4 linked regions of the Neodiprion lecontei genome follow. The protein of the gene in region 3 purifies or fractionates together with the protein of the main gene of each other region. This does not show direct contact. Links are inferred from orthologs where the notes say so. Each region holds a gene or a part of one and is shown on either strand. Other genes may lie near its edges. The genes, in order: YY1-associated factor 2, protein kinase C-binding protein 1, casein kinase II subunit beta and G patch domain-containing protein 2.

What was found.
Region 1: the proteins of casein kinase II subunit beta (region 3) and YY1-associated factor 2 purify together in Homo sapiens (affinity purification with mass spectrometry; 5 studies listed by BioGRID and IntAct, counting the BioPlex papers as one, with this or other methods). This does not show direct contact. The link is inferred for Neodiprion lecontei from reciprocal best matches to the Homo sapiens genes CSNK2B and YAF2.
Region 2: the proteins of casein kinase II subunit beta (region 3) and protein kinase C-binding protein 1 purify together in Homo sapiens (affinity purification with mass spectrometry; 3 studies listed by BioGRID and IntAct, with this or other methods). This does not show direct contact. The link is inferred for Neodiprion lecontei from reciprocal best matches to the Homo sapiens genes CSNK2B and ZMYND8.
Region 4: the proteins of casein kinase II subunit beta (region 3) and G patch domain-containing protein 2 purify together in Homo sapiens (co-immunoprecipitation; 3 studies listed by BioGRID and IntAct, with this or other methods). This does not show direct contact. The link is inferred for Neodiprion lecontei from reciprocal best matches to the Homo sapiens genes CSNK2B and GPATCH2.

Annotation. Positions count from the first base shown.
Region 1 is NC_060263.1:33,482,088-33,490,009, reverse strand, and holds YY1-associated factor 2, read right to left. Parts: upstream 6,013-7,922; 5' UTR 5,830-6,012; intron 4,812-5,829; 5' UTR 4,506-4,811; coding exon 4,329-4,505; intron 4,103-4,328; coding exon 3,764-4,102; 3' UTR 171-3,763; downstream 1-170. Other genes in the region: WASH complex subunit 2C, read left to right, coding at 6,595-6,597, 6,889-7,023, 7,369-7,557, 7,700-7,851. UniProt on the Homo sapiens protein: Binds to MYC and inhibits MYC-mediated transactivation. Also binds to MYCN and enhances MYCN-dependent transcriptional activation. Increases calpain 2-mediated proteolysis of YY1 in vitro.
Region 2 is NC_060263.1:23,697,483-23,702,373, reverse strand, and holds the start of protein kinase C-binding protein 1, read right to left. Parts: upstream 3,023-4,891; 5' UTR 2,846-3,022; intron 2,385-2,845; exon of another isoform or gene 2,254-2,384; intron 834-2,253; 5' UTR 820-833; coding exon 326-819; intron 1-325. Other genes in the region: myotubularin-related protein 9, read left to right, coding at 3,640-3,801. UniProt on the Homo sapiens protein: Chromatin reader that recognizes dual histone modifications such as histone H3.1 dimethylated at 'Lys-36' and histone H4 acetylated at 'Lys-16' (H3.1K36me2-H4K16ac) and histone H3 methylated at 'Lys-4' and histone H4 acetylated at 'Lys-14' (H3K4me1-H3K14ac).
Region 3 is NC_060262.1:34,621,111-34,625,288, forward strand, and holds casein kinase II subunit beta, read right to left. Parts: upstream 2,340-4,178; 5' UTR 2,212-2,339; coding exon 2,198-2,211; intron 2,070-2,197; coding exon 1,994-2,069; intron 1,719-1,993; coding exon 1,616-1,718; intron 1,322-1,615; coding exon 940-1,321; intron 746-939; coding exon 637-745; 3' UTR 535-636; downstream 1-534. UniProt on the Homo sapiens protein: Regulatory subunit of casein kinase II/CK2.
Region 4 is NC_060265.1:19,680,437-19,688,117, reverse strand, and holds G patch domain-containing protein 2, read right to left. Parts: upstream 5,763-7,681; 5' UTR 5,691-5,762; coding exon 5,638-5,690; intron 3,785-5,637; coding exon 3,609-3,784; intron 3,475-3,608; coding exon 3,123-3,474; intron 3,020-3,122; coding exon 2,817-3,019; intron 2,056-2,816; coding exon 1,352-2,055; 3' UTR 534-1,351; downstream 1-533. Other genes in the region: mitochondrial import inner membrane translocase subunit Tim9, read left to right, coding at 186-416. UniProt on the Homo sapiens protein: Enhances the ATPase activity of DHX15 in vitro.

The sequences.
Region 1 (7,922 bases), on a different chromosome or scaffold from region 3:
CACTCAACCGACAATGCTCATGTTTCGCCAGAATTTTTGTTTCTACCTAAACTAACTACTTCAAGTGTGGCCCGTTCGAAAATCTAATTTTTTTTTTATTTTGAAACACTCTAATGTACATATATATACATATATGTACGTTTGTATATATACATTAGAGTGTCTCAAAAGAAACCAATATCAGTTTTTCATGCTCCTACTCCTCAAAACTTGAGTTTTGATAGAACAAAACATCCCCGCGAAGAAGAGGAAGGGAATCCGCCGCTCATTGGACGCTTCTAATCATAACAACCAATTTACGTCTAGGACGAACTTTTTGGAAGGAAAAATTTTAGACCATGGGGATTGGACTTCAAATTAAGAGAAACAAAATTTCGTTGAATTAATTTTTTTTTATTCCTATTCATAATTTTTGTAATTTTTTAAATTAGAAATTATAGAAAAATAAAAATTAGGTATGAAAAAAAATTTATTTAATGAAATTTTATTTCTCTCGATTTGAAACACAATCCCCATGGTCTCGAATTTTTCCTTCCAAAAAGTTCGTCATACACGTTAATTGGCTGTTATAGTTAGAAACGTCCAATAAACGGCGGCTTTACTTGAGTTACAGAGTTTCCTTTTCGAGAGGATGTTTTTTTCTATCAAACCTCAAGTTTTGAGGGGTAAGAGCATGAAAAATCGAAATAGTTTTTTTTGTAGACACCCTAATATACATATACAGATATTATATTCAATTTACAATATTTTTCCTAAGCATATTACAAAATGGACTTTGCTGTCATAGTTGGTGTACCTCGTGGATACCATACGGATCGATTGAAGCAGGTTTTGCACGTTCACAGTGGAGGCCAACTGACAGCGATTACCGCAACGCAAAATCCTAAATAAAAGATTTTGATTTTTACTAAAATGAAAGATCATAAAGTTGTGATACATGAAATGAAGATATCGTAGAGCGTCGCGAATGAAAAAATGATATCATGCTTTTTAAATGTCCGTCTAATGAGGTCTGGTGGAAATCGCGGTATTGTAGGAGATACATAGACTGAAATGTTGGCACGTATCACGCATTAGAGGTGAAAAAAATGTATCGACGAAATTATCGAATTAGTTATCCCGCCTAAGACGAGAAAAATGTCAGTTCAATTTTTACCTATTTCGATGAAGCTAGGTTTCAATAATTTGATGATTGCATGAATTTAACTTTTACTATGTATGCGACATGAACCTAACAGATAGATTATGTCTTTAGTTACCTTAGGGGTGGTCATCTTCATCTGTAAAACTTTAAGCTCCACAGAGCTTTAGTAATAAGTATAAAATATAAGAGATTACTAGAAAAGACGAAACTTAACTCAGGCGGCACTAGCTAAACTTATCTGTTAGACTATTAGCAGATGTTCTGCCACGTATTTCGTGATATTAAATAATCCTGAATATTCTGATTTAGTCTTAATTTCGATAGCGCCAACGATTAGTTCCATATTTTTCAGTAATCTTGACCCTGCTCAACGTCAACTTAGCTTCATGGAATCGTTTGTTTTTAATCGAACTAATAATATGTGTATTGTATTAAACGATGTGTAAGGCAGTCTCATATTATTTCAAAACAAACGAATAATAGCTGTTGGATTAGTTGTACACAGAGATTCTATGCCATTAATTTTACACCAATAACCGTTGTTGTTACTAAAATATTAGTAATTTTATAATTACTAATACAGTTTACATAGTATCTAGATATACACAGGTCACATGCTACTACCATAGTACAGATAAGTTTTGATTTGATATTCATAATTTTTTTATTTTCTCGTCAATTGGTATTTGATAATTGCCAAATATTTTACTTTTAGGACACTTCTAAGCTGTATCTATTTCAGCCTCAATGATTCACATTCACGTATTTTCATAGTGTTCCACCGTCAGCTTTGCTCTTCATATCCATACTTTCTACACTTTTCGCAAAAAGTTTCAGTAAGAAAAACAAAGCTGTCGCTGTCCGACCATACACAACAATTTCAGATCAGAGATGAGTTACGATCTCTATGGTAGTACACAAATTGATGTTTAAGCCTCCGTTTTCCATCCTTAGCTTTCTTGATGATTCCAAATTGCAAATAGTTGAAATGATGTTATGCGAAAATATAAAGATATGTAGTTGAGTACTTTGTGGACACATTGAAGTTGTATAGTCATCAATTGATTGCATTGTAACGTAATTAATTTTCCAGTTCCAAGTAAAAACGGTGTATTGTAAGCAATGAAATTTAATATGACGAGTACATAAGGGTTACTTTTGTAACATGTTGAGAAAATCTGCTTTTAAAAAAAAATAATAATTTGCACTAAAGATAATTACTATAATAATTGAATGACAATACCTTATTTGTCATATTAATCTCCTAATATGAGAAATTATATACACGTTCATTATTTTATAATGAAACTGTAAGTTGTTGAGAAATCTATACGTCATGTATGGGACACAAGTAACGTATTGTTCCGAGTATAAGCCGACCTCGCATATAATAAGACGACTCCCCATTCTGAGACAGTATTTCAGGGTGTTTTTTTCAGTTGCCCGCAGGTGAGGCAGGTCTATGTGTAAACAAAGTATGATTTCAACTGGTACTGCCAACGATAAAAAAAACTTCGGCTTTTATTCGGAACAATACGGTACCTGATATTGGGATATGTGTAACATCTAATTATGACGTTCTGTAACTCTACGTATTTGATAAATTTCCTATGGTTTTTTGAATTTGCGCTGCTTACTTGTATTTACACATAGAAATATCAATCAACAAATGGTCACTTTTGATGAATTCTCTGAGTCTAAGATCTATAAAATATAGCTTGCTATTTTAGGCTATTGTCATGAGCAGTTATCACTGCAGTCCTGGAAATGAATGCCATTAGCCCATTTATTAGTCAATATTAAGAGTAAGTGTGGAATTTTTAATCTCAATATCTTTTGGCAATTTTGACAAAATACGAGAAATGGACACGATGTAACAAGAATGAGATTTCGCCAATAGCAATCTTCATAATACAGTGACTGTAAAATTATTTGATCGAAACAATTCACAATCATGCATTATGACACGTTTGGGCAATTATTTATTTTTTCTTTCTTTTTTTTGGCATAAAAAAATAACCACTATTCGTTGATTCAATACGCTTAATCAGTATCAGGGGGTACAAGACTTTTTTTCTTCCAATTTCTGAAATTTTTGTAATGAATTCATATGTAGTTTTGATATTTTAATAACTCAAGTCACGATCTTTAAAAAAAGACGAATTGTTTGAGAAATCAATTGGAAAATATTTGGAAGTTTCTTAACCTTGAAGATTCATACAATAGTTTTTCAAACACTTCAAAGGCATGTAAAACGATAACTGGATCTCTGGCAGTGTGATATCACTTGACACTATGACGCATGTGCAATTTAATGCAAGATGTTCCAGCTAAGGATGCGGGATTGAGCAACGAGTAACAGCCAACTTTCCCATCGTTAGAACACTGAAATATGACGCGAAAACCAAAACATCCGACAATTACATATTTCTAAAGCCACAGTAGATGGATAATTGGATAACAGTTTACGCGGGTATACGGCAATTGATAGTGCTTATCTCGCACACAGATGTGAAATAACAAACTTCAATAAAAGTAAAGCAGCTGATATCAGATGGTGTGGTTTTGCATAGCATATATATTAATTATAATCATTTATGCACATGTCGTAATGACGAACTAGGCATCAGTTCCTATGTCAAGGCTTCTAGAATCCTGATTAGAATCATGCTGACTTCCATTCTCAGAAGACGCACTGCTCGAGAGGCCGGATTGGTCGGAGCTCTTCTTTACTTTTGGTTTGTATTCAGTGATGACAACGGTAACATTATTCACAGTGACTTCTTTAGTTTGTGCCGTACTCCGGTCAATGTTCTTGAGGCGAGGCGGATGCCAGTTCTTGCGCCTTGGTTTATCCAGTTTTCGTTCCTTGTCTTTTCCACTACTGGTAGTGCTACTACCGCTTCCACCCTCTTTTTTACCTGGTTTCAAGGGTGGTACGTATTGTTGTTGAGCAACCTGTAAATCAAAAGAGTATATTCACGTATTGTGTAAATATTCCAATATGTTACAATGGTAAATAAAATTGCCATATGATATATTTGCTTACTCCAGAATACTGTTATCTGGTACTTCGTGATGTTTAAGTCACTCTGCATACAGATCGATACATTCACACAATTACACAATGGTGTCTGTATGTTTTTATTCTAGGTGAATAAATTTCGTTATAACGATTGCCAACCTGCTGAGCTACTAGTTGAGGATTGATGCGGGGCTTCCGCGTAGAGGTTCCTTTGCGGACGTCACACATGAGGCACTTGAAAGCTTCAGCTGTATTCCTAAAGGTGCAGACACTGCAGTCCCAATAGCTGTCTTCCAAAACCTTTGCCTGCCGCTTCCCACTTCCGGAATGGTTCATTGTTCATCGGAGTCAGTCGTGCTACGCTGAACCTTCTCAAAAGAGATCCTGCCCTCTTCTGCACCCTTTCAGCCTCATTAAAACCAGTTTTATTAACACTTGTAAGTCTTTGAAATATTTTCAAACGAGCCAGGGTGACTGTATTTATTTAAAACTATCGATGATATAGGACTAAATGTATTTCAGGTGCATCAACTCAATAATACAGTAGGCCACTTCGTGTCTTCGTCAATCTCAAGATGACCGCCTTGGTCCATGAACCATATTATCCTTGTCCAAAACATCATTGTGAATCTTCAAATTTGACTGAAACAAAACAAGCAAATTTCTATCAGCATATTCCAAAATGATTGGACAATCATTTTTGAATGTTAGTTTACTGACAATCAGTTACATTATCCATCAGTACAGAGATTACGAGGTAATACCTAACAAGAATATGTGAACTGCTGTGACTCTTTTTAAAATAGTTATTTATCAGATGCTACGAAAGTAAAAAAATTACATTTCTGGTTGTGTACAGAAAAAAATTCATAAACAGTCATGTCATGTCTGAAGACAGAAATAATTTTTTACAAAATACAGTAGCGGTCGGAATGATGAAGTCAAAACAGACGAATTGATGCATTTCCCAGTTGACCTAAATTTCAGATGCTAATATTCGATTGGTCATTACACCTTTGAGGTAGTACTTGCCTCAGATTGTATTGTCATGAACTGAATCAACTTCGGTTATTCCTAAGTGACGATGTAGAGCTCATCAGTCAAACCTGTAAAAATGACCCCATACGTGGATCACAATATTTTTCTCTATTCAGTATTCAGCATCCGCTCTAGATTATTTACACTCTAGGTACTCAAGAAATGTACAATGTGAAGGATACCGAATTGTTCAGACTATAAGCCGACCCCAAATTCTAAGACAGTATTTCAGAGTGTTTTTCGTAGTTACCCGCACGACGGGTTTGCGTATAAGACGAGGACGATTTTGGCGGGTGCTGTCAACAAAAAAAAAAACCTCGCCTAATATTCGGAACAATACGGTATTATAGGCAAAATCAGTGAACAATCCATTTGGTTGGTATGAGATGAATGATGATTGCACACCTAGGAATCCAAATCTCGACCTTGCGTACTGTTGCAGAAATGTGTTAAGTATTGCACATGCAACTCTGGTAAGGTATGCATGCACGCGTAAAGTGCACATGTGTACGTGCGACACACGATAATATCAATGAACTGGAGCACATACGCATTGGGTACACAACACACACCGTCGAATTAACTCGCTCCAGGCACGCAATATAAACGTGAATTTACTTACGCCGATAGAGCCCCTAGATAAACCGCAAGTTTCTGGGCGGTGAGGACTCTCCGACGACAGTGGAAATAATCCGATATTATCGAACTCCCGAAAGCTGGATAAAATTCAGAAAGTAAAATATTGACAAACAACCAAAGCGCTACAAGGCGCTGTTTTGCTACCACTTGGACGGCGGAACGGCCGAACTTGACCAAACAGCGCTGCCAACTTAATTGTCATTATTCCGCTAAAAATGACCAGACTCTTTGGCGTTCTTTAATCGATTACGGAATCGAGATAAGAATCGATTATTTGATTTGTATTGCGTACATCCGATATTTTTAGTAATAATCAACCCATAATTTACTGCCAAAATACTAAATCAATAAAAACGCCAAATTTCCCACTAAAAACATGAAACATTACCACCACATTAGCTTTAAATTGCAAAATTTTTTACCAAATATGCCAACATTCCTTCGAATCATTATATTTCCCGCCAAACAGGCATCTCTTCCTACGAATAACTTTTCAAAACCACCAAGCTGGTAATTCTGTAAACCAAATCTCTACGCCTAAAGTTGCGACTTGCGATTTTAAAACTGCGGCTCGAACCTCGATTAACAAATGAATTCGATTGCACCGTAAGCAATAATAAGAGAAGTGGTTGCTCCTAAGTTGTCAACGGAATCAGCTTGATATTAATAACCAAATTTTCTCTGTTAAATGTGATTTGCACAACGGAAAAGTGACTCGGGACACTTTAGGTGTCAGTCCAGATAAGAAATGGTGAAAATCTCTAGTTTTAATATTTAAACTTCACTCACTTACTTTACAATTTTATCTCTACAGTGATATTCCTACTTTTTTTGTTCCTCTTTATCAGCTGACATTGAAGGGGAGGATCACAATCACGCGGACAATTTAGGGGTCTTCTGTCAATAGCTAAACCTCAGATGGGAGACCCCTAAATTTTATTCTGAATAACCTCTCAAACTATACTGTTAGGCAGTAAATTCACTATCTGTAATCGTGGTGGTATAGTTGAAAATATTATAACTTGTTTGAATAATTTCTTAGGACTCTGCTGGACCGGAGAGAGCTGAGAAACCATGGGATCATCCATGGACTACAGATGAAATGCGAGAAAAAAGAACTGCCTGGAATCTTGCCGGAGATGCCGGCCTTCTACAGCATCTGCAACAATTTTCAGATGTAGGAATTTTTAGTTAATAAACACTTCGGATCTGGTATAATAATATAAAGCCAGATATTAGGCACACTGATAGAAAATCAAGCTGTTTTCAATCAAAGGAAAATAAAAATCAGATGCAATACGTGTTCAGAACTAATTATGGGACGAAAACGCTTATTTTTACTTTGCTTTTATTAAACGGTCTTATTTAAATTCAATACTTCAATATCTATCGTTTCAAAAGATTTCCCTGTTACACTTCACTTTGGTAATGATTGTAGTCTGGTTTTTCACTATTAGAATGAATTTTTATTAAAAAAAATAACACTCTTGTGCGTGTTTTTTTTTTTGTTTCTTTCCTTCAGAAGCTGATGACAACAGCTAACAAGACGCAGGAAGCCTTAAATTCGTTCAGTTCAGAGCTTGACGAAACAATTATTTTCATAGATAATATAACCAACACATCACTAGCTCTAGCCAACACACAGTTTATCGAGAGTAGAGTCTACGAGGATGAAATAGAAGCTGAACCACCGAAAGAACAACAGCTAGAAGTACGTCAGCAAGACCAAATTTTTTTTTGCTAGACTTGTCTCTTGTTTCATTTCTACTGTAAATTGTGTATTGTTCTATAGAAGTAAAATCTGTCTGATGAAAAGATTTGACCTCAGTTATTAATCTGATAAATTTTATCAGGTACCAAAAACGAAAGAACAGCTAGATACAGAACTGATAGCAAGCATAGGTGAGACTGTACGGCGTGGAATCGCGATAATGGAAGAAAAATACGAAATATTGGAAGTTATTGCTAGCGATAGTGAAGATGAAGGAGAGACTGCAATTCCAAGGTTTGAAAACAGCATTCAAAAATACAAAATACTGCCACCAATGACATGCTGGTATTTTCACTATGAAACTT
Region 2 (4,891 bases), on a different chromosome or scaffold from region 3:
TAGGAATATTGTAAAATTAAAAGAATAGAAAATAGGTTTACAGTACTTATGAATATAAATTGAGAAACATGTTAATCTGTGAAGAACTTCAATATTTTGTAGTATGAAGAATGTTCGGAAATACCAAGTGAGAAATAAACGGATTTTGAAACTCTGTGGTTTGGTTTAGAAAATAAGAATATACTAAGTGAGCTTACATTGTTATAAAAAGTTTTACATGGAAAACATAGTTTGCAGTTGATGCAAGATCTACAATTTCGATGTTGAGCAACAAATTAATAATACATCAAATTATTGAAAATAAGAAAACTAACTACTTACACACCAGGTGTCTACCAACCTCGACATTCTCCGTTTTCTCTTGCCCTCCTTAACTGCACTTTCCCCTTTAATCTCTGCTCCATTGATCTTGACGTCTTTACCAACAGACAAAGACGATCTTGTTTCCGAAGCTTGTGCTTCCTCGCTTGTACTTTTAGAGACATCAGGCTTCTTGCCATCAAGTCTATTTTCAACACTGTTATTTTCTTGCGATTCTGCTTCAATTCTACTGTGTTTTTTAGCAGATTGTTTTCGGCTTTTGACATCAGACTCGTTGCTAACGTTATCCTTTGATCTATTCACATTTGTCTTTGATTCTATATTGTCACTTTGCTCCAGAGCATTAGTTAGATTGTTTATTTTGTTCGATTTCTTGCTAGATTCATTATCGTTTTTGTCCTTCTCTGTAACTGCTGTCTCTGAATTGTTCTTCTGATCCTCGCAGTCCTCCATTGCGTTCTTTCTATCCTCCGAGGACTCCATGTTGCTCAGAATCATATATCAGATGGTATCTGTGTGAAATAGATTGTCATTAAAGCTTCGGCTACTTGAAGTTTAATTTTCTGTCTATTCACTGGTAATTCGAATACATGAACTAATACACCATAGTCGAAAAAAAATTTTGTATCACACTGCGCGATTTTGAAAAAAATCTGATATTTGTAGTTCTATTATATGAAGTATCATTTAATTCTATATAACAATCAAATACAGGTTTTTTCAATATACAATAAAACTTTCACCATATGTTATGTGTTATATGTAAGAATTTTATTTTCAATTTCTATAAATTTATTTATGTACAGTGAAAATTTGTATTTTCATGATAAACATTTGAAATCTTGACATACCGACAAAATAAATAAAAGTATGAACTGAAAGCCAGCTAATGTAATTTATTGAAATCGATTCTTTTGAACATTATTATTTATTAATGCACTCCATTATTGCAGCTCTGGCTGTACCAAACTTTCATTTTCAACATTTTTCTAATTTCTAGATGAATAGAACTTTGTCCACATTAGAAATGAAGTAAGAAACTGGATTAAAAATAAAACAATTTAGAGCTGACGATCAATTTTTAAATCCTGCTTCTGTGTCCAAGTATAATATAAAGTGATTTTTGATCAATAACATGAATTGGATATAGGTCAGAGCAATACGCGGAAAAAAGGACTTTTTAGTAGTTATATCATGTTCAAGGATGTAAATATTCTGCATTTTAAATTCAAGGTTTGTAATCAAGCTTCATAACTTTTTCCTTGTTGCCAGGTTTTCTAGGTTCATGGCAATTTTGCCAGAATTGCTTTAGCTAAGATAAAATTATGTTTTAGGGTTTTTGTCAATATGATTTATGACTTCAGAACCGATTAAGGACATGTTTTGTTTGAAACAGATCATGCACGCCGATCCTATTTAAAATGATCCAAGAAACAATCATTCCACAAAAAATTATTTCAACACAAAATTGTATATATGATTATCCTGTCGGTAATTATTCTGTTCACATATAAAATGCAATATTTAGAATAAAAAAAAAAAAATTCATAGATTGCATTAATGTGACTAGTTTGAAATTATCACCTCCCTTGTTCAGCCAAGGACTATATATAGTTTGAAGACACTGACATCAAACATTCTTACATATGCCATTGTTATTACGTACACTTTGAAATGGAAATGATGTTTATCTATGCATTTAAAGTTCCAACCAATCAAGCTTAGTCGAAAACTCAAGTTGTTACTAATACTGAAAACAGGTCGGGGCGTTATTTAGCCTTAAGTTTATTGTGTAATGTTGTGCCCTTGGATGGTTTACAAACTTTTACCAGGTTTACTACACAAAGTCTTATCATAGGATCTCAGTATCAGCAACAAGTTGAATTTACAATAAAGTTTAATGGATCGAAACTTCAGGTGCATATTTCTTACTTCGTTTTTGTTCAAAGTTTAATAGTTTCTGGTGAAATCCTAGCCCCAAAATGTTTCTAGTCTGTATACCATTTACTATTTTCTTGATGATTGAAAGGAAACCAGAAGCCAGGATCTTCCTTCATACTATCCCGAATCGCAAGAGAAACATAAAGCCTTAAATCAATTCTCGGAAGTGAAAATAACTTTGTAAGAGTAAGGTGAATAAGCAATATGACTTATAGTATGCCTCCTGGGTAAGCGACGTGTCTACAACAATGAGGAATACAAGATTATGGCTGAATGCGAAAGATAAGCAGAAAGTAGATGAGTGCCAATGCCAAAAGTGCTAATCGACCTGGTAACAGCGTGTTGTACTAAATGTAAAAAGAAATAATTGTAGAAATGCATTTAAGTTGCAGCGGTACAAACTTGGGTACCTGAGCATGGTTCAATATTGGGAAAGTAATATCAGGATGACAATGAAGTAAAAAGTGGGTATACCTACATCATAGCAGCAGGCACAGGAATGGATGCTGTGGTTGTGTGAAATGGCAGTGAATAGAAGAGGATAGACTGTTAAAATTTCATAAAAATATAAACAGGATCTTACCAATCTATTCAGAAGGAAGTACGCATTATCAAACGACGAAAGCTGGTGATACGACGCATCGCTTTGCAAGACTAATATTTCGTTGAATTAACATGATACAAACATAAGTGGAGACATTAATCGCTATGGAAAGTTAGGAAATATCTCTCGCTGCGCTGCACGAGCAAACCACTACTAGCCGGGCTTTCCTTCTCTTCTCGTTACGCCAGCGCTATCTGTTGAGGTATTGGCAAACCTTCGGACATCACGTGGTGATCGTGTCTACAATTCAGTCGTAACAAAAGTGCACATATACAATTAGAGAACTGTCAAACTATGCGTGGGTCCGGTAATTCCGAAGGCTCGGAATGCTCGTTGAGGCATGACACCTTGTAGTTTTACATCACCTTTTTCGCTCTCCATTTCGCCATCCCGGAATATCACCAGTTTATGTACGAATTTTCGCCAATCTTTTCCACACCTCTTGTTAAAGGGTTAGCTGGTTATCACTGTCAACCAGCTGTAGTGTAGGCGTATAGTGATCTCGCACATACAATATTCGGGTTAACAGCAGCTGTCAAAGAGACGTAATACTTTACGAAAACTATTGCCGAATGAGTTTTCTGACGATTCCGTTACACCGATGTTTTAATCGACTCATAAATTCAACGATAAACTACAAATATATAATAGATAAACGATCAGTCTGATAAGGTATTTATTTAAGGTTACGTTTATCTGTGAAATGTCACTTATTGCAGAAGAATAATAATATTTCGCCTTGTTATTTCCAGTGAGTTAAATCAGCACGAATAATGGAATTGAGTGACTTTATATTAGTTACAAAACTTGATAACGTCGTTCTCACTGATAGAAGCGATGGAACTGATAAAAACTCTAGCTTAGATAGAACGCTCTGCATCACTGGACATCATCTTATACTATCATCAAGGCAGGCTGTTTCTCAGGAGCTTTTGGTACTCAAACTGATCAATTCGTAGTTTTATTCCAACTGCCATATTATTTATTATAATATGTTCCGCAATCCTGTACGTCCCAGAGTTTTAGATATAGTTTTATATTCATAACTCTTGGAAAATAATTTGAGAATTTTACTCATGTTCTGACAATATCTGCAATTTTTTTGAAATATTTTCTAGCCAGTTGACGTTTTATTTTCACATTTTTGTAGATATTCGATTTCTTCCAGCTATTTCATTAAGCACAAGATTTTCCTTCGCTATCAAGCAGTGTTTTAGTTTGAATTGCGTCTTGCAAAAACATAGATAATTACTGAAATAAGAGATACTAACCCAAAATGGATCCTTTGCTAAGCAATACTCTGTGTATTAATAAAGCAAAATTTGACAGTTTAAAACAAAACTATAAATAAGTAATATCATATTAGTAATACAAGGAGAATATATCAATTTGTAATACCTCACTCTGTAAGTGTATAAAAACCAGTTTATCTCCAGTATTGCAATGTCAAATAAACTTAATTTTGATTTAAGATTCCCTTTAAGCACTACAAAAAAAGTGATAAAATCAGGCTTACAGAAATTTGATTTATGAGTATAGACCATCCTTATATTTGAATATCCCAAAAAAATTATGTGCTATCTTGTAACATGTGCAACTTTTCATTTTACATTTAGTCAATTACGTTTCAATAATTACAATAACAGATTTTGGAATACTGTTCGTGATTTAGAAAGATACATCTCAGTAATAAATTAACACAAGCATAAGCAAAAACCTATATTTTCATTCAAAAGTTCTTGAGAGTAAAATATATATTTACATAAATAAGAGTGAAGTATGTAAGTGACACATATATCACCTTATTTATCATTTGACAGTGAACTTTATAAGTTGACCTGTAAATTGCAGGCCAGAATGTAAATACATTTTTAAAGATCATGTGAGAATATGGAACACATTATGTAGTCTTTGCATGTATTGTGAATCAGTTTGAAAATAAGGGCTATGGCTAGCTACCGTTCTATTGATAGAAATGAGGAAGTGTCAAAGGTGTCTGTCAGCAAGTATAGTTGTGTAATGTAA
Region 3 (4,178 bases):
TTGTATAAATTAAACTATGCTTAGCAAATATAGTTTATACACCATTTTTTTTTTTCGATTTTATCCTACTAATAATTTGGAAAATGATGACACGGTTTTGATCTCATCGTTAATAACAAATTTACTTTACTATTAGGCTAACTTCTAATTTTAGTTTACTTTTCATTGATGTTTGTCGATTGCGTTAGAAATTGCTCTATAGCAATGACATTCTTAGAAGTATAGATAAATACGTAATATTGGTATATTTTGTTTTCAGAGTAGAACAATCAATAATTAACAGGTTTTCGAACTGCACAATCAAGTGCGCGTTAAAAAATACTGCACGGAATTCATGAAGTTAACATTAAATTATCTCGATACTATGCTACATACTAAAAAAATGAAATGTTCATTAGATTTGGCAAGTAAACAAAAAGGTATACGTATAAGTAAAATGGAGAAAGGTTATAATTACCTACGAACATTAATATTTGCACGCTGCATCTATAGATTTGTTCGCTTGCTTCGGTCTCGGAAACCGGTTGAAGAAGGTTTATAAAACAAGTGACAGTTTATTTAAAACTTATCAACAAAATTATGGTTTGTATTACGAAATACGAATGAAAATTTTCTAATTCAAATTTAAATAAAGTTTTAACGCTTTCCGTTGTTATAGTTGAGAGTTCTTAATGGAGCTTTGAAGGTTGCAGCAGATTGTTGTTGAATCTGATAAGCCAGGGGGTGAATTTTAAATCCATATAACCTGAAATTTTGTAAAATAAAGTATTTAGAGTAATTCTCGAGTCCTGGTCTCGAGATAAGAATGTATATATCACATAATAGTATGCCTAAATAGAGCCAAATAAATAAATCACTATCTTGGTTTGGTTGACTGGTAGAAATCTTTTAGTTCTGCAGTTATGCAACTATTTCTAGTTCTCGTTGTGAGGGTTTTACCTGGGCACGAACTGGTTAGCAGCACGTTTAGGTCGATATTCGGGATGCACCATAAACAGCATGTGTGGGAATCCAGTTCCAAAATATGCACCGTCAGTATGATGATGTCGTGAACTTTTAGGAGTGTAGACGTCCATACATTTGGGACAGTAACTTTTGACCATTGCTTCGCCTGGTACATCGCTGAGTCCTAGTGGCAACATAGGCTGCGATTCGCAGTAAACACGTGGACAGTGGCCAAAGTCACCAGACTGATACTTTTCAATCATTTGTGCAATACCTCGGTTCGTTAAAATATAACGTGCGTGAATAAGACCATACAGCATTTCAGCAGCCTGTTCTATCAAATCCGATTGGTTCGGATTGTCATCCAGTTCATCATCTAAAATTAGGAAATTTTTCAAGTTTATATGTGCAGCTATGAGTCAAAAATGTACACATCTCAGTAATATTCTCCAATTTAAACACACCAGATTCAAAGATGCAAAAGAAGTTTCTTAAAAAATATCGACTCAACTATACCTATAATTCTACACTTTGACGATAGAGCTATCAGTACTTATGATTTTCAAGTTTTAAGATTTGAATTATTCTTAAGTGTTCTGATAGTGGTGTAGATCACAGAGAATATATAACAAGTACGACAGAGAGTTTAAAAACAAAAGACAATATGTACCAGGTTCGAGGTCAAGGATCATGTCCAATGCCTGACGATAGTGTGGAACCTGTTCATTGAGACCAGTTAGATTGAATTTATCTTGTATATAGTCTTCATCAACCTGCGTAGAAATTGTAAACATAATTTCGGTTAAAAATTGAGCTCCACACTTATAATAATGATAATCTCAGTTAAATTTTGAAACACTTGGTTTTACACTCGATTAGCATACGGATATATAGTAATATCAGCGGTAGTGCAAATTTGGAGGTCAACAATAGACGCCATAATATTTAAGGAATGATTCATAGAAAGTGATTTCACCAAATTTTTGACTGATAATCGGTAGTACCTATCATAACGATTGTATGAGAATGAGATTAGAAAAATTCTTACCTCACAAAAAAATTCATTTCCTCTGAGCCCGCAGAACCACGAGATCCATGATACCTCCTCGGAACTGCTCATTTTTCTATTAATTAGAGATATATTAGTGAAAAACTTTAACAAACCATAATCGCGTAGATTAGCCAACGGAATAACAAGACACTTCGTTCGGCACGCAAGATGCCCGACATTTTGCTCAACCGCTTCACCTACGTTTCCGTGGTCATTGCTGATCGGTCAAATGATTATTGAGTACGTTGTATAACTAAATATAAGGGAAAATCGCATGACTCTAGGAAAACTGGCCTAAGAGCCACGCGGTAAACCGAAAACCCAAAAATAAACAGCCCTTACGGCTTACCTTTTGGTGCCTTGATTAGCCACGCTTGCTCGCCCAGAGAGGGTAGGTGTCGCTGCTAGCGTCTGCTACCAGCTGTATGCGGAGAATTTATTGGGTGCACACTATTCTCAGAATCCTGATACCATGTTAACTTCAATTCAAGTCCATACTGATATTGATAATAAATACACCCGCTAGTTTCTCACACAACATACAATTCGATCCACTATTCACGAACTGTTCTCCACAATGAACATGAAATTATTTTGTTATCGGCGACACGGCAGGCGCAGGGCGTCGATATAACAGGCCTCTCGTTTATCTATAGTCAGTGCTGCGTCGAGTGATGATTGGAAACTACGCTCGCGGATAGTGCTGGAAACTATAGTCGATTTACAAAAACTATCGGATTCATTGTTCAACCCTGTATTATGATTGGTTGGCTCATCGTTGGACAATATGGCAGGAGTAGGGCAATAATCATGGCAATAATCTCTATTGTAATGTGATTATAATTGAGATCAGTGGAATGGGGGGATGGTACATATTGTTGAAATTCTGATGTCAGAGGACACAGAGGTGAGCGGACGAGCGAAATCCGTTGTGGCAACAGTCTCAGTTTGTCTATGACGTCATGGAATACAAACGATGTAGCCGAACAATATAACCTTTCGCTCTTTATTACTTGACGAAGTTAAAAGAATACACCGCAAATTTGTCATTCTTTCACTTGTAAGCAGCTGACACTGAGTTATCTTTTTCTATCTTTCAATTGTATTATCTACATTGGTTATAACTGCAACAGAAGCCAGTCATTCGTCAGTTGGCAAATTGAAAAAAATTGCATCGCGAGTCGTTACCGTCATTTATGCAAACAGATGGTCAGTATGCATTCTGCAGTACCGTCTGGTCTATTGATTTATCAACTTTCGGGAGTATGCCAATTTCAAACCATCGATAGTTAGACTATTATCATGATTTTAACTCGTATATTATTCAATATATTGTTTGGAATTGAATGTTTGCCCATGAAATCCACTAATGTCTTTGAAAACTAACTTTATTTACATTTTCAAACGTCCATGGATATAAAATAAAGCATTAACAATACGATGAACGATAGTGCGTCTTTAGAATGGACTTCATTGTTATCCAAAAAAAGGAAAAACATTTGTCACAATAAACAAGACATATCAATTTTGTCAATAACAGAATCGTATCAAACTGTCAATTTCTCGAGGATCAATTTTTTAAACTTGAGTTGATTCATTATTATTCAATGATATATATTTATGTACATATATATATACTCATATCTATTTTTTCAACGTTTAAAATACTCAATGTGAATCCATAGTAATATAGTGTGCTTACAAAATAGAAACTCGCGCGATTCAGATTTTTCTCAGAGTACAAGTTTTTTTTCATAAGCTATATCACAATTTCTTTTATTTTTTTTACATTCAGTAGTTATGTTTCAAGATTACAGCCATTCTGATTTCATCGATATTTGATCATGGTACCTGGTTATGTGTCGCGCGCAAAATTAATCCTTCAATTACGATTTATTATTTTGATCTGAAAATCGTTGAATTGGCTGGTTGGTAGATTCTACTGTTTTTCATGTTCGTCGCACACCTGATATGTTTGAGATCTTAATCCAAACAATTAAACGTCATTTATTTATGTATTTTTATTTTTCAAAAAAACTCGTATTATATTCCTTATTACGTTCGAAATTAAGCCCTCGAAGCCTTGATGAAAAATTTTATAGTGCGGAGTTCTTTTTCACAAACACTTGCCCCACGAATTTGATGAAAATTGTATCATATGAGTAATCCAAAGTACAGGTAG
Region 4 (7,681 bases), on a different chromosome or scaffold from region 3:
TGAAGTAAAATTACGAATGTTGATCTATTACAACTTTCAGCAAAAGTAATTTAAACGTACTTTCGTCTTGTCCTACAGTCTGGTAAAAATTCGAAGTGTAACGATATAATTAATCGTTTAAATTTGACATAGTAAAATATTTAATAAAACATATTTATTATTGGAATAATTTTATAACTTTTCAGTTTAGAGACTTCTTGACATCATACAATAAGCTATCGGAAATCTGCTTCATTGACTGTATAACCGATTTTACAACACGAGAAGTGAGAACCAAAGAGGAGAAATGTGCGCTGAATTGTATGGAGAAATATATGAAGATGAATCAGAGGGTCTCCCAACGCTTTCAAGAATTTCAGATGATAGCCAATGAAAATGCAATGGCAGCAGCTAAAAAATTAGGTCAATTACGCTAATAATACTACATTTATTTTTGGTCATTTAGAATTTTATCAACAAGTGCTCCTCGTTCTATGTTATATGCTATTAGTATATCAAAAACGTCTTACTATATGAATAAACTAACGCATGAATTTTATAGAAGTAGTAGTGTATTTATTGTTATATTATGTTTTTAAACATAACTTCCACCATTGGCCCATCTTTCATGAACGAGTTTTCAAAAACCCTAATAGAAGATGATAATAATTAACATATACAGTATTCCAGACTGTACTGTAGGTAACAACTTAACACTATAGTTATAAATTATTATAATCATTATTTCAAGTGATATTCCAAAAATAAATGACCGGAGATCTACTTACACCTCAAAAAAAACTGATATACATCTTCGAGGAATTCTTGGGCATGTTTCATCAAGATCTGGTTTAGGCACAAAAATGTACAGAAGTATAGTTCATGAGACATGTAACTGTTGTTCTGGTAAACCTTAGTATATCAAATGCTTGTAAATAATATTTCTTTATGTAACTGTTCTTTACAGGCATTCTTACAAATGTTTTAAAATATAATTCAAACACAAGACAGGATTGTAAGTTTCTCTTTTTATACAACTAAATACCGGTGAAGCGAACGGAATTTTCTGATAGAATGAGAAAAATTACGAAATTCCGGAAAAAACTGCACAGAACGTCAGCAGATAATAGCGAAGTTTAATGAATTCACAAGAAGGGGACGGAAAAATAAAATCGGCTACATTTCTTTTCGCAATGTCATTGATTTTCGCCTTTGATTATATTCAACCATGCTATCAAGGTGCGATGGAGCTTGATTTAAGTTTGAATTATACTTACAAAAACTGGTTTATGACTGTAAAAATCGGCGTTTTCAGAGAATTGTCATTATGCAAGAACATATGTGTAGATTCGTAATAAAATCTCTATAACATTTAGCTAGATTTGGAGTGACCAAAGCTATGAAACTTTGGTTTTATTTGCAGGTCTGTACTTGGTATATCCCAGCCAAAGTTTACAGTTTGTGTCAGGCTCTCGACAGAGCCAATACCCTGTATTTGGTTTGTAATTTGTGTACCAAAATTCACACTTGAAATAGGTAGCTCATTCTCCTGCATTTCCGAATCAGGATTTGGCGAATTTGGTGGAGTCTTTCGTAGCCTTTTGTAATCGGATATTCTATTCAGAGAAACTTGATCGACGCAAATGGCTTGGGTCGTATGGCGAGTTTTGTATAAAATTGGACAACTCAAATCACCCTTCAAACTTAAGCTGTACAAATTGGCAAGCCTTCGTAGTTTTTCACGCTCAGGCTGTCGCATTGGATGCAGCTTTAGTTCACTTTGGCTAGGGTCCTGTAGAAACCTTGAAACTTTTTCGTTCGCCGAAGTTATTATAGAATAACCAGGCTTATTATCCACACGGCGTCGCCCAGCTCGAATTTCTCTGCCACTGAGTCCATCTCGAATCCATTGCATTCTTTGACGATAATTTTTTTTCGCCTCATCGGTTAAATGCTCAAAGCTACCGTGTAGTATTACTTGCAAAGCCGGATCTGAACTGACCTTTTCTTCATTTGTGCTGTCCCCGTCGTCCCACCATCCTGAATCTCCAATCCAATCGGATTGCTCATCATCGCCTGAAAGCCAAAATTTCGTAATTGTAATGAACACATCACTTGAAAAAAAAATATGCGTGTTTAATAGAATGCCTTCAGAAATAACTTTGTTTTTTTTTTTCCATCTCCCACTTCATGATACTATAGTTCATAACAAAATATTGAACTTTGTGAATGGAAAATGCAGAACAATTTTTTCAAGCTGTACCACATCGAGATTTTGTAGTTGCCATTTGATTTGATTAACACGTAAGAAATCCAATTCTGACGTTTATTTGATAATAATTTTTCTATACAAAGAACGGAACTTTCTATGATAGAGTTTGAGTACTTATTTAGTTTTCTTCAAATTGGCGCGTAGTAAAATTTGTCACTGTACAGATTTTTCGAAAGGGTGAAGGACTATGTTTACGTAATGTTGAATATCTCAGAAATCGTACTGCTTAAACTTTTCTATAACACGCCAATTTGAAGAAAACTAAATAAGTTGTGAAACGTATAGTATATAATATGTAGTATATAAACGTACCATAGAAAATTCCATTTCTTGTATAAAGAAATTATTATCTCCATCGAAACATCAGAATTGGATATCTCACGTTTTAATCATAAAAAAATGAAAAAAAAAAAACAGAGCATTTTCCTTTTATGACGTTCAATATTACATTATCGACTATAGTTTCATGAAGTGGTAGATCGGCACCCCAGTATTTCAAAGTATCTTAATGGAATACAGTATCTATATAACTTAAACACATGTTATATTTAAAATATAAACTCACCTTCGCGGTCTTCATCGTTGGTAATTATTCCACCTTCAGAATCACTCGATGAAATACTAGAGTTAGAAATGCGTGAGCAGTCCATCACATCCTCAGCTTGCATCTTACCACGGTTTTTTATTTTTGAATTACGGTTTGGTTTGGGAGATCGCATTTCACAGTCAATTGAACGCTCGCGACATGACCTCTTCCTTTTGCCACACCTAAAATCAACATGATATGTAATTATCTACTCCACTGATTTGGAACATTTTTATCTTAAGTGAACAAACTGAAGTGAATAAGATTGCGAAACTGTCTAATTACCATGTTTCATGTCTAAGTCTGCAATCGTTCCGAAATCCCCTTTTCTTTTTGCCTGACAAACTCGGGATCATCGTGACAGTCTGTGAAGTTGATGGATTAGAATCAGAGTCGATAGCCATTCGCTTGAATTTTCTTTTCCGTCTAGTGTTAGCTCCAGGTGCAAAATTTTCATTTACTGAATCACTTTCGATGTTATTGATATTTTTCAAGTTTGAAAAGCGAGCGAATCTTTTTGTCTGGTTATTGTCATCGCTGTCCGACTGATATTTTGAGACTGTCGCACTTTTTGGTATGCGTACATCGCATATAGAGGACGAACTATCATCTGAATGCTTATTTGCACTCAGAGAAGCTGAAAAATTAATCATAAAACATTATTCAGTATCTATTATTATTATTATAGTATGCAATTGCCACTAAACTCTGTTCGTAAATAAAAATCATTTGGTTTAGTATATAATCTATTCCTCTGCCACTTATACTCACGAATATTTCCTGTTGACCTTGCTCTTCTCCTGATACCCCATCTACGCCTCACATTGGCGCTGTTGCTACTTTCTTCTAACGCAAGGGTCAAGTCGTGAACAAGAGCCTCCATTATAACTCTTAAATCCACAGACGCTGTTTTTAGGGCACGCTCCATTTGAAGAATACGCTTTTTCCTTGAAATTTAATCGTGAACACAATTGGAAACAACTGAATTAATTCAAATTTTCTCTACTCTTCACCCCACAAATCTAGTGTTTGTGATAAGCAATACAGGATTTTTAAACATTTTTTTAGTCGTTTATCAATTATTAAAACATCGAATAAAAGCTACATTGTAAATAAGGTATCTTAAGCTATCTAATTCCATCACTCCAATGTTTTCTTTCAAATGATACATTGACTAAGCAATCTGGAAGGCCTTATTTTGTAAAATTGAACAGCCTTGTATTTATAGTGAATTCTTATGTTTAAAAAAAGCTTCAGGCATGGCTTCATTGGTATAGAGCCTTTCTCACGACTGCTCTGAATATCAAAACTGACAATAAATACAAGGGTGAACTGCAGTGACATTGGTAGGATGTGCAAAAGTATAGTTTTGATTTTTTTTAAAAAAACATTGCATTTGGTATATCGTGATATGTCAAAACCGAACCTATTAGTCCTTGTACAAGCTAAACTGCATTGGCTAAACTAATGATATGATTATGCAGACGTTCATATATTAACAGTTCTAATCCCGTTACACCCACTTTTTCTTACAATTTAACAGGTCATTATCCAATTTTAGATTGAAACCGGACTCCCAAAAGTAAAGTATTTTTTTCACTCTTGGTAAACTCAAATGTTACATTAATTGTTTTCTTTTCAACTGCATGTTTGTGTAAATTCAAAAATTTCCCAATTATGTCACAGCAGAACGTTCATGAATATCAAGAAGCTGAGAAGTTCGTGTAGCTAAAGATAGTTTCATGTATGCAAAACCAACCTAGACGTTTCTTTGCAGTCATGCAAAAGATTGAAACATGAAATCCATAGATTGAGTGATTGAAGAAAAAAATTGCCACTAATTTCAGTTGTTACGTTATTGTTACAAAGTTACAATGACTGTATTTGTGTATTACTTTATAAAGTTTTGATGACTTTTTAAATTGGAATTAATTTGATATGGTTCAGGTTTTATTGCTATTCTCTTGATACTTTCGAAAGAAGTTCACAAAATGTTTTGTACATCATATTCGCCTAGTGAAACTTGTTCTCAATTTTTTAACCAGGGTGGCCACTCAATTCCGCTCACGGAATTCCCTGACATTTCCCGGTTTTCCAGACGGGTGGCCACCCTGTTAACTGTGCCAACAAAAATTGAATATTTTTCCACAGCTTTGTAATTAAATGGTACAAGAAATTTATAAATTCATTCCAGTTATATAAAGCTGTGTTTACAATTTTAACATTTATTTATGACAAAATAATATTGAAAGTTTAAAATAAGTTATTAGACAGTCTCATAAATCTAAGTGGAAAATTAATATGTAAATTGCACAGAATAAAATTTGAACAAAAGCTTACAAGTACAGCAAACGATTGGAGTAAGTGAAAAACTCACATAACCGTATCATGAAAAATCGTCACAAGTGAGGTGGTTTATAAAATGTTACTTAGCTTCGATCATTCGATACACGACATGTAAAATCTCATAGATTATATCAGGTCAGTAACGGGAAGGAACAAAATAGAGAAAAATATGCCTATTCGCCTGGATACGATGTAACAATAACAAAAATATTCATTTGTAATAACAATTTAGAGATTACAACAAGTATTGTGTAAGGTGTAAAAATTTAATTTGAATGTTACATGCAGCTACAACTCATTGAAAACTCGTATCACGATAGAAAGACGTGCAAACTTCAAACGTAGATATGTACGTATATACTAACCAAAATTCTAGTGATTTTGCGTGAATAGTCTAGTAGATGAAACAAAGCACCATTAACATATCAGAACACAAACCGCAACAGAGTCGAACCTTTCGCGAAACTTTCCGAGACAGAGGAAACGGACGGGGTCGTGGGGGAGCATCGCTCCCAGCCGACACTAACTCAACCGGGACCCACCCTGTCGAAGAAACCCCTAAGGTTAAGACAATTCGCACTAATCCCAAGAAGGATTTCAAGTCCAGGGATATCGTGCTGGATTTGGCTCCCAAAGCCAAAAGTTCAGTCGCATCAATGGAGAAGAATGATCCACTCATTAATGATCTGCTCACTATCGAGGGAATCAACGGTTTCGTTGAGGTAGCTCGAGAGCGCACATTCCAACTGGACTTTAGCGGGTACACTCAAGTCATCCAAACATCATATGGTGCCCAGAGGGCTTTCGATAGATCTATGAGGAAGTATGTTCCTTTTAGTGCCTATCAATATTATTGCACAGTGGCACTTTAGAAAAGACTGTTTGATATCTCAAGCTCAAGAGGTCATCTCACTCTTGAACATCTACAGTTATCTCAGGCCCTAAATTTTGACTTTCCATTACCAACAGATATCTAAATGTATCTGCAAGGGATAGGAGATATTAGGTATGCATCTGGACGAGAATTCCATTTGCAACTCCAAGCCACACTGACTGATCACCGGGTTAACGGAATGGTCGGAAGCTATGGTATCATTGATGCCAATACTTATATATTATATGAAACGATACCCGCGCCAATCATTTCCGTTCTGAAGATGCAGGCAGATCTTATGCCTGTTGGCCCTATTCACTGGGATCCTCCAGAAGGTCTTCGTCCTAATCTAGAGGCCGCTCAATTGCCTACAGAAAACCTTTTAGGTTGGCGTAGAAAAGAGAGGCTGTCAGAAGATCAGCGTGTGACCCTAGAAGCAGGTGGGATTACAGCTAACGATGTGTTTCCAAGGAACATCGCAAATATCCCAATTTTCCAGGATTTACTAAAATCTGTGGCAGATCATATTGAAAATTCAAAATGTAAAGCGATCGCAACCTTCCCAACTTCAACTACAGGATCCTTAGCCCAAGTATCCTTTATATCACGTTCACCAGACGATTCAGAACCTGAACCACTCCGTAACATAGCAGCAAAGCTAGGGAGAACTAACAGCTACACTCAAGCTGTGTCAGGAATAGCGTCTTCATCCGCAATTATGCGATACCGAATCCAGAGGCGAACGAATCATGAAATTGATTCTATATGTTATCGGTTCGCAGCTCAAGCCATACCACAACCATGGCTTCAGAACGTGAACCAGATTTTCCACACTTCCAAATTTCAGAACTCGATGGACGAGCGAATTATAACTCGTTTGTGAACAGAGTTCGAAGAAACGTAACTCGAGATTGAGTACCAATTATCGGAACCATCCCCCCCCCCAAGATGTAAGTCGTATCACATATGAACCGCATTCTTTGTACATTACACATGTTTATTTAGTTTCGTTACTAATTTTATTATTATTATTCACCAATTATATATATAAATATAGTTCTGACGAGTGTGGACAGAAGGGTTCCTGTCACCTAGTTATTCATGAGAGGTAAAAAATAATTGAGCTCAAAATCGTGCAACACAGATAGGCAGCACACGGCGTATATAAGTAGCTCATAGCTGCTGATCGCACGCACCTTGCGTATTGTAATTTTGTTTGTATGTACGAATGTGTTGTTATTATTGTATCAAATGCGTGCCGAGTAGCCACGCGATTCTATTATATCGGTGCGACCATCTTTACGAAACAGTTGCAAGCGGTAGCAAATTTTTGATCATCTTCGGAGATTGTTGTTATGTATGTAACAAATGATTTGACGGCCGATCAGAATGTGTTGCCTAACATGCGTGTAAGCGTGTGTGTGTGCATACATACCCTGAAATCAAAGCAAATTAATTTTCAAGTCTCTTATTCCCATGAAAAGACGGAATGTTATTGGCTAGGAACGATCGTTCGACCAATGACGATCCATTGATGGAAGGAACTACAGGGACGCTGGTTCGTACGTCCATGCATGTACAAGCTATGCGCGACTGTCGCGCCACAACGTTAATCATTTACCTT